3 linked regions of the Drosophila melanogaster genome follow. The protein of the gene in region 2 interacts with the protein of the main gene of each other region in a pairwise test. Each region holds a gene or a part of one and is shown on either strand. Other genes may lie near its edges. The genes, in order: wdn, ktub and stg1.

The links.
Region 1: the proteins of ktub (region 2) and wdn interact in a two-hybrid assay, tested with the Drosophila melanogaster proteins (one large-scale study listed by BioGRID).
Region 3: the proteins of ktub (region 2) and stg1 interact in a two-hybrid assay, tested with the Drosophila melanogaster proteins (one large-scale study listed by BioGRID).

The regions. Positions count from the first base shown.
Region 1 is NT_033777.3:28,809,090-28,814,136, forward strand, and holds the start of wdn (wings down), read right to left. Parts: upstream 2,249-5,047; 5' UTR 1,997-2,248; coding exon 981-1,996; intron 921-980; coding exon 1-920. Other genes in the region: Prp39 (pre-mRNA processing factor 39), read left to right, coding at 3,026-3,065, 3,306-3,397, 3,616-4,462, 4,529-4,725, 4,792-4,917. UniProt on the Drosophila melanogaster protein: May belong to a complex set of multifingered proteins which play an important role in gene activation or regulation at early embryonic stages through a maximal accumulation of their transcripts (or protein product) in the mature oocyte.
Region 2 is NT_033778.4:21,099,849-21,104,895, forward strand, and holds the start of ktub (king tubby), read left to right. Parts: upstream 1-2,079; 5' UTR 2,080-2,727; coding exon 2,728-2,769; intron 2,770-5,047. Other genes in the region: CG34396 (uncharacterized protein), read left to right, coding at 60-217, 367-1,403. UniProt on the Drosophila melanogaster protein: Functions in regulating protein trafficking, retinal maintenance and lipid storage. Protects photoreceptor cells R1 to R6 against light-induced retinal degeneration by stimulating norpA-mediated endocytosis of the rhodopsin ninaE (Rh1).
Region 3 is NC_004354.4:21,091,420-21,096,466, forward strand, and holds the start of stg1 (stargazin-like protein), read left to right. Parts: upstream 1-2,424; 5' UTR 2,425-2,565; coding exon 2,566-3,266; intron 3,267-4,260; exon of another isoform or gene 4,261-4,282; coding exon of another isoform or gene 4,283-4,481; intron 4,482-5,047.

The sequences.
Region 1 (5,047 bases), on a different chromosome or scaffold from region 2:
GTTGGCCCTGTTGCAGCAGCTGCGGTTTTTGCTGCAGTTGCTTCGGTGCTAGCTGCTTTCGTTCTCGCTTGGCTTTGGTCTGCTTAGGAGCCGGCGGGGCCAGCGGCACCAGCACAGTGGTAAGTTCCTGCTGATGCTGTTGCGCCAGCGGCACAGGATGCACTTGCTGCAGAGCAGTACCGGCAGGTAGAGTTATTCCCAATGCAGCAAGAGTGGCCTGCTGCGGCTGCTTCTTTTTCCGCGCTTGTTTTGCAGGAGCCGGTGCAGCAGTAGACGTAAGATTAGCCTTGGCTTTAAGTTCACTAGAAGCGGAGAGTTCGTTGGGATTCACAGCTGAAGATGCTGCCGCCGCTGCTGCTGCTGCCGCGGCTGCCTTTTGGGCCTTGTTTGTAGTGGACTTTTTAGAGCAGTAGGAGGGAATGTTCTCGAGGTGTTCGCCCGTTTTGTGGTCCACCTTGTGTCGGCGTCTCGTGTGCTTCAACCAATTGGGGAAGTTGGTGAAGTCTCGCGGACAATAATTGCATTTGAACGGGCGCATTCCTGTGTGTATGTTGGAGTGCTGCTTAAGCTTCGAATTGCTGATGAAGCTCTTGTCGCACACTGTGCACGCGAATGGTCGCTGCTCAAGATGCACCAAGTTGTGGACCTTGAGACAGCGCTCCGTTTTGTACATCTTGCCGCACTTTTCGCAACGATAGGAACGCGTTTGCGCATGGTACTTCTGGTGGCGCTGCAGATGTGAGCGCTCCTGGAATCGCTTCTGACACTCGGGACACTCGTACGGCTTCTCCGATGAGTGAATCCGTGCGTGGTGCGTGAGGTTTATTTTTTGCACAAACTTTTGGCCGCAGATGTCGCACTGGTACTTCTTGTTATCGCTGTGAATCTTCCGATGCATCCACATGCTTCCCAATTTGAGGCTAAAGTTAGAGTAAAATGGTCAATAGGAATAACTATTTTTAGTTTGCAGTAACACTTACCACTTGCCGCAGTCAGGACACTTCTTCCAGGTGTCCTTGCGGCCCTCGGTGCGGTGCGTCTTTAGGTGCTTCTTCAAACCAGCCAACAACTCGAATTCCCGCTGGCACTCGCTGCAACGATAGGTGAGCCTCAGCCTGTGAGCGGCCGCCTCATGCTTGGCCACCTCATCGGGCGTCTCCAGCAGCAGTCCGTTGCAGTCGAGACACTTGTGTAGAGGTGCCGGGTCCACCTCCAACGGCTTCGTTTCCGAAGCAGCCGGAGGCGGCATGCTAGCCGCATCCGCCACCGATTCAGCCGATTTGGCCTGCTGGAATATGGTAAACGATGGCGGCAGCAGCTCAGACTCGCACACCTCTACCTTGGTGACCACTTGCTCCGGCGGATGCTTCTCCTCGGGCGGCTCCTCCTTAAAGACCTTCAGACGCACCGCCGTCGCCGCCGGCAGCTTTGGCTTGCGTTGCAGCAGCTGAGACTGGGGCATTTGGAGCTGATGCTGCTGGTGGAGCTGCTCGGGCGATAGCTTTACGGGTGTGGAGGTGCCGCTGGACGAAGTCTTCTTAAACGGGGAATTAGTGAAAGCATTCGGGGGCTCGGGCCGCAGGAAAGTCACACTAAACTCCGAGCTGGAGTGGTTATCACTGGTCAGAGTGCTGGGCACGGTTGACGAGCTGGTGGCAGCCAAGTCATCGCGGCAGACGTCCGAGGATAGATTCAGCTCGGTGTTGTTCTGGGCACTCTCGTCCAAAACGCGCCAAAAGTCGGTGGAGGAGAGACTGTTACCATTGACCAGGCTGGCGGAGCTGATGGTCACGCACGCCGACAGATCGATGTCCAGCGACTCGTCCTTGATGCTCGATATCGAGTCGAAGTTGTTGATCCGCAGCAGAGAGCTGAGTATCTCGTCGTGGGCCGCCTTCGTGGGGGTGCCCGCATCGCCGCCGTAGATTTTAGGCGGCAACTTCTTGCTTGGCGCCTCCTCTTTCATTCTCTTGCCCTCGCCCTTGCCGCCTTCCATTCGCCTTGCCTTGCTTACACGTACAGGTTATGCGGTCGGCGTTTTCGCTCGCCGTATTTTGTCTTTGTTCGCCGCGCCGCTGACGCTTTGCGTTCACTGGTCGCCGTTGCCCGGTCACTGGGTCCCCAATTCACTCATCGCGATCGCTTTCGTTGTATTAAACGCGCCGCAATTGATCGAAAAACATTTAATTATTGTGAAATGCGCCTTGGCTTTGTTGTTTTTGTCACGCTTACAATTCTCGAGTCGCCATTTTGAGAACAGTGTTAGAAGACGCGCACGAGTGGCAGTCCCGCTAAGAGTGATGCTCGCCAGGCGGGTTATTAGCTATATTTAATTCACGACTGGATTCACCATTCTAAATAACATTTAAAGAGATTTCTTGACTCAAAAAGAAATCTTGTCCGACAAGGAAACATTTTACTTACCAATTCCATTTACATGTTTGTATTTACTTGATATAATTCACGATTATGTTGTATAGAAACTATAACAATTTTTTGGGCTTTTAAAATCCTATGCATTGAACATTCAAACCCTAAATATTAAAGGAAGTAGGCCCAATGATTGTGTTATTTGTTTATGTTTTTTATGTTAACTTAATAACCCACTAATTTATAATATGTGTAACATTAAACAAATTTTATCTTCTTTCATTAAGAATTATTTATGGTGATATTTAAAGTCCTCTTACCATAAAATATTTAAATTATATTTCTAGCTGGAACATGTAATTTCTGCTAGAATTTGTATGTTGAGATAGGTTCTGCATGCGCACGCCAAAAAATGAACTAGTTCGCCGAACTGGAAAAACACTGAGCACTTAGGCTATTTTCGTTATTAAATTATATTTTTTGATAGATTGTATATAATTCATTCATCAATGCTAAAAAATGATAAATATCGAAATTCGAAAAACCTCTGAAAAATATTCAAAATATAGCTATGAGTCAGTCGTCAGTCTTGACCAAACAAAGAGATATCGATATTGGCGGGACATGTATATCGATACCACGTTGCAATGTTAATATGGCGTCAGAGGGCGAAAACGTTGTTATGGAAAGTCCAGGTAAATTGATGAAAAATTACAAATACGTGCATTCCTTCGACCGGACCTAGTGACCGTTGATTAAAAATTCAGTCCTTACTAGCCCATTTCGGTAGCTGACACTGACAGTTAGCTGGAGCAGCCCATTAAAGCATTTGGAAAAAAGTGAACATCACGAGGCAGCGAACAACCCACAACACCGCGCGTACAGTTTATGTAAACCGCATGGATTAACCAAGAAAGTTAATTGACGTTTTCCAGGTCGCCGCACACGTTCTGGTCGGAAGGCCGCATCCCCGGCTGCATCGCTGCCAACCAGAAGCACCCGGCGCACATCCAAGCGGAACGTACAGGTCAGTTCATCCCACGTAGTTACCGCCTCTTCCAGATCATCAGCCAATGATGTAAACGATTGCAATTTCCAGTGTGGGTGTGGCGTTGTTCCATCCGCACATGATTCTTCTCCCTGGAGGAGCGAGTGATTACCTGCAAGGGCCAACTGAAGGCACAGCATCCACAAATGCTCTGAGAAATGCCGGGAACCTTCATTAACGACTTTTAATCCTTTCAGCTAAGTGACCACGAAGAGGAGGCCGAAGAGCAAGTGGTCATGGTTCAGGAAGAGGAGGAGCCCTTTAGAGGGACAAACACTGCGGAGGCACCTGCTTTGGAGCCCCAATTCGAGGAGACTCAGCACCAGATAGAGGATGACGTGGAAATGCTGCCAGCCGAAGCTGCTGGGGTTGATGAAAAGAGCTCTTCCTTCCCGTTTGGCACGGTGGCGGAGCTGCATTCAGAGACTAGTGATGATATTAAAGAGACACGCGGTCAGGCTGGCGTGGACACCCTACTGGCTTCTTTAGCCGGCGATAATGCCAACAGCCTGCCCTCCGTGGGTGGAAATGACGAGAGTGACAATGTCAAGAAGGCGGACTTTGAGTACAATGTAGACTCCCTGCAGCCGCAGATGGAGAAAATGAATTCCTCTGAGGACTCCAGCTCACAACATGCCATTGCCGAGGATCTGGCCGATGCGGACACCAGCAATGCAACCATTGTCAACACAGAGATAGTCTCCGAGGATGAGCTACCTCTGCCCAGCAAGCCTGAAATAAATGATGCCGAGGAAGTTTCCGATGAAGAGCTTCCAGCACCGCAGCGGGCTGAATTGCCAGAGGATGCTGAAGTAATCTCGGAGGATGAACTGCCCGCCAGTAATAACAATAACACCGCCACTGAGCCCAAGGCACCTTTGAAGCGCAAGGCGGAAAACGAAAGCGTTAAGAGCACCGAAGATAAGGATGCAAGCAGTCATGAATCAAGCACAAAGGATAAATCCTCCGAGCAATATAATCCGGGCAGTCCCACATCTGAGAGCAACGACGCACAGCCCTCAGAGAAAAAACTCAAGGTCGAAGGTAATTGTTAATCTTCCAATGACTAATTAGTTGGTAGAGCTTGACTCACAATATTTAAACCCACAGAATCGGAGCCCAAGGAGAAAAAGAAGGAAAAGGAGCGCGATAAAGATAAGGAGAAGGATAAGGACAAAGATAATAATAAGGATAAGGAAAAGGAGCGAAAGAAGCTGCCGGACCTAGATAAGTACTGGAGAGCTGTCAAAGAAGACTCCACCGACTTCACCGGCTGGACGTACTTGCTGCAATATGTTGACAATGAGGTGGTTATTTAGCCGAACGCCGCATATCTTGAACTTTAAATAAGCAATTTTCTTCTTTCTCAACAGTCTGATGCGGAGGCGGCGCGCGAGGCCTACGACACATTCCTGTCCCACTATCCTTACTGCTACGGATATTGGCGCAAGTATGCCGACTACGAGAAGCGCAAGGGCATCAAGGCAAACTGCTATAAGGTGAGTACCCCACTTACATTTGGTCGTGCAAATAAATATCTTTCGCAATTTCTTGTACTACGCTTACAATTACGATTACAATTGATATTCATATATTTGTTGTTAAATGCAATTTATTATGACCTAATAA
Region 2 (5,047 bases):
TACCAATGGTGCCAAGTGGTAGCCCAGTTCTGTGAGTGATTCATTTGTATCTTTGCCAGAGAGGAGGACTGGAAGTCTCTTGCCCGCCAGAAGCTGCGCAGCTTCGAGGATGAACTAAATAATTTAGCCGAGTTGGGACTACGCCGCTATCCGGGCCAAAAGTCCTGGAACTTTGTCAATTGCTTCATCTTCTGTTGGACCGTGATCACAACTATAGGTAATGGGTTACAATGGACCCATAACCATCCAAAACTCCTAAATCCTTTCGTTAGTTCTTATATATGAGCATATTTCCATTTTAGGTTCTTTTTTTAGTTAGTCATATTTAACTTATTAACTCCCATGCCTTCTTCTCTTCCTTTCCAGGTTACGGCCACATCACTCCAAAGACGGGCATGGGTCGATCCCTGACCATCGTCTATGCCATCATCGGCATCCCCATGTTCCTGATCGTGCTGGCCGATCTGGGCAAGTTATTCACGCGCTGCGTCAAGTTCCTGTGGGTGTATGTGCGACGGATGTACTACACGCGCTCCTGCCGCCGGATACGAAAGCAGCAGCAGATCCGGAGCGCCATGACAGGCTTCAATACGATGTACGACATGGCCATCCGCAGGCCGAGCATGTTCTTCAGCAACTCTGCGCCAGAGAACGATGAGGAGTCGCAGGCGGATGCCGAGGCCGCAAGATCGGTGGGCACCTCGCACCCGGAGACACCCACATCACCCTATCCAGAGACCTTCGAGGTGGACGACGAGTTCAATTTGCCAGTGTCGGTGGCCTCGCTGCTGCTCATTACGTACATCCTCCTAGGATCCTTCGGCTTTCTAATGATGGAGCCCAGCTGGACTCCACTGGATGCCTTCTACTACGTGTTCATCTCGATGTCCACAATTGGGTTCGGCGACCTGGTGCCCAGTAATCCCTTCTACGTAATGGTCAGCATGATCTATCTGATGTTCGGCTTGGCCCTGACCTCCATGTTCATCAATGTGGTGCAGATCAAGCTGAGCGATCACTTCAAAATGGCCAGCGCCAAAGTGGGCGCCACCATTGGCATGAACATGACCAGCGAGCTTGGTGATGAGGGCGGCTCCCAGGTGAAGACTCCCTCCGAGCTTGCCTCGGTGCACGGTTCGCGACTGGACAGGATCGAGGAGGATGGCCAGGAGGCGAATGGCAATGGCCACTCCCCGGTGCCACCACTCACCTCGATCCTGCGCGCACCGCGTCCTCTATCGCCGGCGTCCAATGGAGTGGATGCTAATGGAGTTGGAGCCGATGCTGTTGGAGCTGGGGATGTTACTCCGCCACCTCTGCTGCCCAGGCGTCAGGTTTCCGTGGATCCCCAGCCGCCGGCGGAGGGGGAGAACAAGAAGAAGAAAAAGCACAGGTTTTTCTAGAATCCCTGGGATCTTCCGCCTCCAAACAAAAAAAAAACCGACAAAGTTAACGTGTAAGAAACCTCAAAAATGACAAGGCAATTTCAATCGAATTTACCGTAACGCGAAACTCTATATTCATTTATTTGTTATTTAATTTTACTCACCATCATCGTAGCATAAGTCTAATGTTAATGAAATAAAGCGCGCGAGTTGACAACGCAAATTGATGTTTTTAATTGTTGTAAATTCCGCTTAAGGATCATAATCATAAAGTTGTATAATTTTTCAACACTCTATTATCCTGTTATCAGCGTGGTTTTTTGCTCAATCCGGAATCGAATTGCCAGATGCGTATGCTTTGTACGGGAATGCATCCCAAAATCCCAGTAACAGGGAGTCGGGGGCGCGAATCCAAATGCAGTCGCAGTCGGCAGCTGCACATCTGTCGCTCGTAGGAAATGGAAGAGGAAGCAGCCACAGGAGGCGTTGTGCGGAGAGAGAGAGAGAGAGGGAGAGAGGGAGAGACCCATTCCCATTGAGAGCGAGTTGTGGTTCTCTCTGCCTCTCTTTCGCTGACACACGACAGGATGGCATGCTTCGCACTCCTGCTTCGGCTGGCATTCGTGTGCATGTTCCGTTTCCATTCCGTTCCGCTACGAGCACTTCGCCTGAGTTGACGGCTTCTGTTGGACGCCCAGTTGTTGTTTTGGCAGCGTGCGGTTCGGTCGACGGGTTACATCGCCTTCTCTCCTCTACCAAAATAAAGAGGCGCCAAATTCAATCAATTGGACAATATCACACGCAACTCAACGGGCACGAAAGTGTTTGTCAAACAACATAGATTGTATAACATTATAAATATATGCATATTCAGGCGGTACTCGCTCAGTGGCTAAAGCAAACATTCAGTGCCAGCGATCCGGAGAATTCCGATCGATCGCGTCGGTACAAAAAAAATTGAGCGAGAACAGGAAGAGCCGGCTGTTGGCTTCAGTCTACAAATCCTCACCCTCGTGAACACCCCTTGATTTTTTTGTTGTCGCGTGTGCTGCCGTACTACACTACCACAAACTACAAAATATATACCATACCATACAAACTGACGCCAGGTGTGCTAAATTCATAGATTCTTCTTCAATTATTTTGGTGCCCCATCGGTTTTTGTTTTGCTGCATTCATTCGCATTCGAAAAGTCGCTCTTCAACGCAAATCCCAAAACAGCTGTCACTCCCGAATATTTGCCAAATGCCTCTTCATCGGATCATCTGAATCGCGCGTAGTTAAGTGAAAATCGTCAGAGGATTTTGATTGCCTTCTGAAATCTACAGCCATAACTGCAAAAATGTCCGGAATCAACAGTCGTAATCAGAAAATGGAACAGCAGGTAAACCCAACACTCCAATTTGGCAGATCTTTTCTAGATTTTACCAAACCTATAATCTTTGATAATGTAATCTCTGAAATTTGAATTTCTTTAAATGTGTCATTCATATCCATTGTGTTTGATAATCTTCATAAAGTGGACACATTAAACCAACGATCCTATATTATAACAAAACCAATCTATACATACGACAGCGAAATTTATGAACAATTTAATGGCTACTTGTATTAAACTTTTGCTTTAGCTAAGAATTCTTTAAGAACTTTTTTTCAATTGACCATGAATCAAGGCAAGTTAGCACTGGCCTTTTAACTCTTCCAGCCCGACGGTTCGTGAATGTGGTCTAGAAACAAGAAAATCCACTCCTTTCTTGGAAAACTCGGGCAGCCCATAGCAATCAGCGCCAGCAGAAAAGGGGCCATCAGCCGGCATTACACGGAATTGTTCACTTTTTGGCCTCAAAGTTGACCGCTCTAAATGTGCCACCCCTTAAAGGCAACAAAAAAAAAAGGAAAATGAAACACCCAAGTGGCTTAACGCCTTCTCCAAGTGGTTTTGTTGTGCCCGTTTGCTCGTGGCCAGGTGTTCGTCCGTTGTCCTGGCAACGGCGTCCAAATAAATCGAAACGAAGCTCCTGGTGGTGGTGCAGTTGCTGCAGTCCGATTCGATTGTCATTGGCCCTAATTATGTTGAGTGGCACGGAACCAAAAGGCACCCTACTCCACCCACTGGCTCATAAATCGAATCACTTCGATGTGGTTGAGTTGGGCTGCCAAGTGTGGGAGGTCCTGGGTCCTTCGAGTTACTTCGATTTCGTGCCGCTATGGCTTATAAAACATTGAGCAGCTATTGACAGCTTCTTCGAATGGGAGGACATTTTGAAAACATTATGCCAAGTCATTTCAGCTACAAATGAAATAGCTTGAAAGAAATCGAAAATAAGTGGAAGCCATGGGAGCGCATTTCATTTTGATTGAATTTTAATTTTAATTATAAATTCACATTGAATCATCTCACAAATTCCCATGAATTAACACATTTCGTGATTACCATTTTAAAGCAGCTTGTTTGAATAATGTTTGCTTTATCACATTCATTTTCAAATGCGAGTATAAATATGATAAATATTCACTTGCTGAGTCAAGCTAATTTTCTTTGAACGTGTTAGCATAGAACATTAATCCTTCCGAACAATCGTTTTGGGTCATTTTCTCGAGCTTAAGCCAACACAAAGTTATATCCGCCATAAAAAAGAGAATGTGGCACAAAAAAACGGAGTCAATTTGCACTTGGCATAAATCAACAGAAAGATATATGGCAGTCAACTCATAAAGTGGTCGCTAAATATACACAAAGGATTAATAAAGTCTTCGGCCTGGACGCCAGCTAACCCACAATGTAGTATCCTTTCTTTGATTGGTGTCCTGCGTCACTATGGGCAACTACCCACACACACACACACACAGATATGTCCAGGCAGACAGGATTCTATAGTATCCCCATAGGAACACAGACAGACAGCGCAACTAGAAATATACACAATACCATTCGTTGGCATTGTTTTCGTATTGCCATCACCCATGGAATACCATTAAGCGAGGCCACAAAATCGATTCCCGCCTGGTGACGAGTCCTTCAGCTTCGCGAGGAACTGAGCCGCAGGATAATGCCCAGCAATAAGTCACACAATTGTTCACTACTTCCACATATGAATATAATATTTGCTTTCCGCAAATCGCTCAAGCTTTTCCTCACGCAAGTCGTAAAAAGAAACATTTCGGCCAAAAAAAAAGGATGTGACGCACCGACTTTTTCTAATAAGTTACTTGCGTAGATTAGGGTGAACCTTTAAAGCTTGAGAAGTGATTAAAAAATATGATTTGACTAGAGTAGAGCTCAAGCAGAAAAGAGACCCGCCATCTAACTGACCATATATAACTTTCTTTTGATCAAATGAACAAAGTTTATTCGGTGTACTTCCAACTGCTGTTTTTAGCATTAAGAAAAAGGTCCACCCTAATATGTATATTAGCCTAACTTCACTTAGCTTTACGGCTTTTGCCCTTTGTTTCGAGCCTGTAATTTTCGTTCTGTTGCTTCAAATACGAGGTTCTTGACCCAACGAGAGGAAAAGCCGGCTAAAACGAAATCGAATTTACCAAACTTTTCGTCTGACAGCCAAAGTCGAGATTTAATATTTAATAAGAATACGATACCTTATTAAATGTGCATTTGGAGCTGTCATTATGAACTGATTGATTGTTTCGGTAAGAGCTGT
Region 3 (5,047 bases), on a different chromosome or scaffold from region 2:
CAGCGGCAATATGAATGCATAAAAATGAATTAAATTAGCCACCCACGCACACATTAGCACTCTCGAAAACACACACTCACATACTCTCGAGCATTTGCATAACTCCAAGCAGGACTAGCAACGTGGACGCGTCTGTGTCTGTGTGCATTGGCAAACATTTGACAGTTGCAACAGCAACAAAATAACAACAAATTAATGCAACAAAATAAATAAAAGAGAAAAAAAAGACAAAGCAAACTGCCAAAAGGCACAACACAAACAAAAATGCAAACATTTTGTTAGTCCTCTCTTGTTAAAAAAAAGCAAAAAAAAAAAAACAAAAAAATGAGTAAATAAAGAAAACGAGAGACGAGAAAAGTGTTGCCAGCATTTGCAGCGCATTTAGATGAAAACTTTTGCGAAAGTTGCAAAAAAGTTACTCTATGTATTTAAATGCTGAAATAGAGAGGGTCGAGGGCTTAATTCGATGGCAAATTAAAGGCGCGTCCAGCAACTTGTTGGCATCAAAATAGCTAGCACATCCTTGTTTGCTGCCAGAATGAGATTTAATTAAGATTTTAATTAATTTGTTTGCTAGCCAAACAAAAATGGTGAGCAAATACTTGAGGCTATTTACTCACGGCCAATACTAGTATATTTAATTAAAGGTTTTTTGCGTTTGTTTTTTGCATTACCAGTTGAATTCTCTTTTGGCGCTCTTGTCTCTTCAATCTCTATTCACATCAAACACCTCCTGCCAGTTGGCTTAATTGCCTTTGTCCTTGGCTTTTGCGCTTTTTGATCAGGATAAGCACTCCGGCAATAATCGTCGGCTTTTGTTTTCCATTTGCCGGATTACATGCTGCTCCCACATGCATACTCTTCACTACAGTCCAATTCAATTTTGATGAAATACCCTTTCCATATCCTTGCATATGCACTAAGGTTTCGCTAAGGACTGCTGAAGAAAGAGCAGTGATGAGGAAGTGCACAGAAGAAGATTCTACAATTCTACAAATGCTTATTAAAGCTGTTAAACTAGATTTTTAGAAAAAACATACGATTTGCAATTGATAATTTTGTTATATGTTTATTAACCAGCAATACACGAATATTACCATTCGTGCCACTGTGTGAGCACAAACAAAAGCGACCCTTTTTTCTTCCAGTGTGGATTTGGCAGCTTAATCTTTGGGTTTTGTTCTGCACCATTCCTGGGCCTGCACTCAGCAATTCCACACTTTCACAAGGTGCACTTAACAAGGTGCTTTAGAGCAAAAACGAGTGTGAACGTGGGCTGGATTTTTGGGAGGGGGGGGGGGTGGGTGGCTTGGTATTTCGGTTGGCGTAGTGTGGGCGGACCATTGTTGGCCCTACCCTTTTAATGGGGCACAATCATGGCACGAACTTACCTCAATCGCATGTGGGAATTCAATTAAATAAACGAGAGTTGCAGCCAAAGAAGCCGGGGTTGCAATAAATGCTTAGATTTGCAGGCGAGTGCAACAACAACTCGGCAAACTATATCCCATATCCACACACACACACACACACACACACACAAGCGCATACACATACACATACACATACACTTGCACGCGCACAGACAGATAGTGGGGATCCCCAAGCGACCGGAAGTCACTTTTAGCTTACAACGGAAGTTGCAAACGTCTGCTGGTTGTTGTTATTACTACTCCTGGTTGCCGTTGGACTGCACAGCGAACAATGACCTATGTACAATCAAATGGAAAATATAATACTACTTAATTACAGTTAGAAAACATGTAGAAGAAGCGCTTTCGGCCCTATAAATGAACGTTGAGAACTCGTAAACTTTAAAACCTAAAGAATTTGTATTCAAAATGCGCGGTTAACTGACGAAACGATCCTCGACGACTCCGTGCGTAACGCTTACGATAAGGAATTACTCTTTTGAATTTGTATTAGTTATAAAAAAAACCCAATTGATTTTTATGAATTTTATTCATAATCTTATGCACAGTTATAGAAATCAAGGCTTTTCTTTCAGTGCACGCCTGTTGGCCACATAATGTGTGTAATTTTCGTATTCAGAATAATTGATACGAACTCTACAGGCCGCAGCTGAAACGCCTGATACCTGGGATTTTCCAGCTGTGCAAATGTAAAAGTTAATTTTCCATTGGTCATAGCCGCTATATTTAGGTCTGCCAAGGAAGCGGCGAATCATAGGATTGGTGATGGGTATCAGGCGTGGATTGCTGCTGGATGGAGACCATCAAAAGCGTAGATAAAATATGGCTCCTGTGTTTTATAATCGCCAGTGAGCAGCAGCAGCAGCAGCAGCAGAGGCAGCAAAATCATCATCCGCAGCAGCCGAAGTTATTCGTTTCGGTTCGTTTTACATGGCCGAGTCGAGTCCTTTGGCCAGGACCACAGCTTCCCTTAGTCGAGTGAAAGTTCTCCAGCGCAACGGACGTGCCCAGCCAGAAATTCGAAAACAAACCAACTTTTGGCGCGCTTTCAAAGTGTTGGATTTATTTTAGTTTTGTTTTGTTTTTTTTTTTTTTTGTTCGTTCTGGCTCAGTGCAGCTAGTGGAATATAAAATGAGGGATTATCCTTCGGTGCCCAATGTGTTTCGCGTGGCCTCCACGCACAGCATCAACAGCGAGAATCCGTACAATAACATTCGACCAGCGAATGTAATCTGCAACACCACCGAAAGGCCGCCGATTGCCATACACCAGCTGACCACTAGTGCATCCATCGAGCACAGCCACCCATCGCAGCAGGCGCAGCACCAGCAGCAACAGTTGCTGCACCACCAGCAGCAGCACCACCACCAGCAACACTCGCCCTATGCAACATTGCCGCGGGGCCAGCGACTCGCGCCGCAGCAGCATCAGCAAGCCGGTGTAATCAACACGATCTCTGGCAGCATTCCGGCCACGGGATTTAGTTCCCTGGCCGGCAGCTTTAGTGATCTTCAGTTGAACAACATCGGTAATCACAGCAGCAACAGCAGAAGCAATCACAACAGCATCAGCAACAACCGACGACAGCAGCAGCAGCAGCAGCAGCAGCAGCAGCAGCGACTGGTCCCTCATTTGAGTCGCCACCAGCCAGCCATAGAGGTGCAGCAGACGCAGCAACATCAACAGACGCAGCAGCAACATGTCCAGCGGCAGCAGCAGCAAGAGCGCCTGGCCAGCGGCGGTGCTGGTGCTACCGATCCGCAGGGAGGCATCAGCAACATGACCACCGTCAACGGGGGTTACCTGTGGCTCATCACACCTGTTGCAGCCAGGTTAGTATGCGATCATAGATCAATCATGAATACATTAGTTTGAGGAAACGAATATGAGGCAAATATGAATTTAAAAAAGCGATGGACTGTACTAATCACTGTAGTTCGGAATATCCTTCAATTTGAAATTATTGTTAATTGTACTCGCCTATTTAAAATTGGAAATTATGTTCCACAAAATGTCTTATCTCTTTTTAATACTAAATTGTTTATACACCATACTAGTACTAGGCAAACGTAAAATAATCCACTTATGAAGGTTTTTAATTATAATTTGCTTGCCTTAAAACCTGAGTTTGAGTCTGCGGTTGGCAACTTTAACGTTTCTCCATGATTTTACTATGCCCCAAATGAACAAAGTGGGAAACCAAGTTATATTTGTACTCATTTCTTTAGGTTTGAGGCTGGTTCCAGTTAATATACTTGACTACTACCTCGATATGTAGATGCTCCTTTTTTTTATTAAGCGACGACTTTGAGTACTACTTTAAGCTTCAAGGTAGCAAGGTCTCAGATTTTTCGCAAAGGGAAATACTCAAAATTCCTTCAGAGAAGGAACTAAATAGTCGAATCCTTTAAACGGATGGCGAAACAGCCTGCTGAATGCCAGCAGCTTGAATTCCTACAGAGGACGCACACACACAATTTCCGCCCATTCTATACATTTTTAAAGAAACTGAGGAAACTGGTTTCACGTGCTTCGCAGCTGGCAAATGGCAGCTCGTCCTTGTTACAGGAGCCACCAGGACATCCAGACCTCCATGCGGCTCCTTCATCCTTGTAGCTTGACAAATAATTGTGTTAGCGACACAAATCACTGCAAAGTGGATTTAATTTGTTCGCAAACTATTTCGCACAAAAGTACACAAAACAAAAATCTAGATTTTTACCATTATGACATTCTTTATTTCGTATTAAGTAAATTAATGGTAAATTAAAGGTAAATTAATGCTAAATTAATGCTAAATTAATGGTAAATTAATGTTAAATTAATGCTTCGCTGTATACAAACAGATTCATTCCGGCTTTGGTTTTTTGCCAAGTTGCTGCAATTCATTTGGCTTAGTTATTTTAAACTTGTGTAAGTTTCGCTCACAGGGATTCACGGAGTGCATGCGCATAAAGCCTGATGTGCGAAAGACCTGGCCACACTTGCTGCAGTTGTGTGGCCAATTGTGGTGACCAGTCTCGCGTTGGTGCTTGTACATGGCCCGACTGAAAAGATAGAAGAATGAGCGATATTAATGAAACGTACATATTTCGGAACCCAAATACAGTACAGAACCCAAATATACAGTTTCGAAAAAATCAATAGCACCACCATAGCGTATCATTTATTTTTGATCATTTGGGTATTTCCCCATCCGAATCTGAAAAGAATTTACATAATATTCGTATAAGGATATACTAGATTCGTTGAAAACTGTGTAACAGCTTTCCGACCATATTCCGCCTGTCTATCCATCAGTCCGTCCGTCTGTCAGAACGTCTCGATCTCAGAAACAATTGAAAAACAAATTTGAAGGCCAGTGCAGAAAAATTTGGTTTGTTTAGCAACAACAAGCCAAATTTTAAGTTTTATCAGGACAATGATCCCAAACATAAAGAGTACAATGTACGCAACTGGCTACTCTATAACTGTGGCAAGGTGATCGATACGCCGCCTCAGAGTCCTGATCTAAACCCCATTGAAAATTTGTGGGCCTTCTTAAAGAAGAAGGTTGGAAAAAGGGGCCCCAAAACACGACAACAACTCATGGCTGCGATAGTCGAAGAGTGGG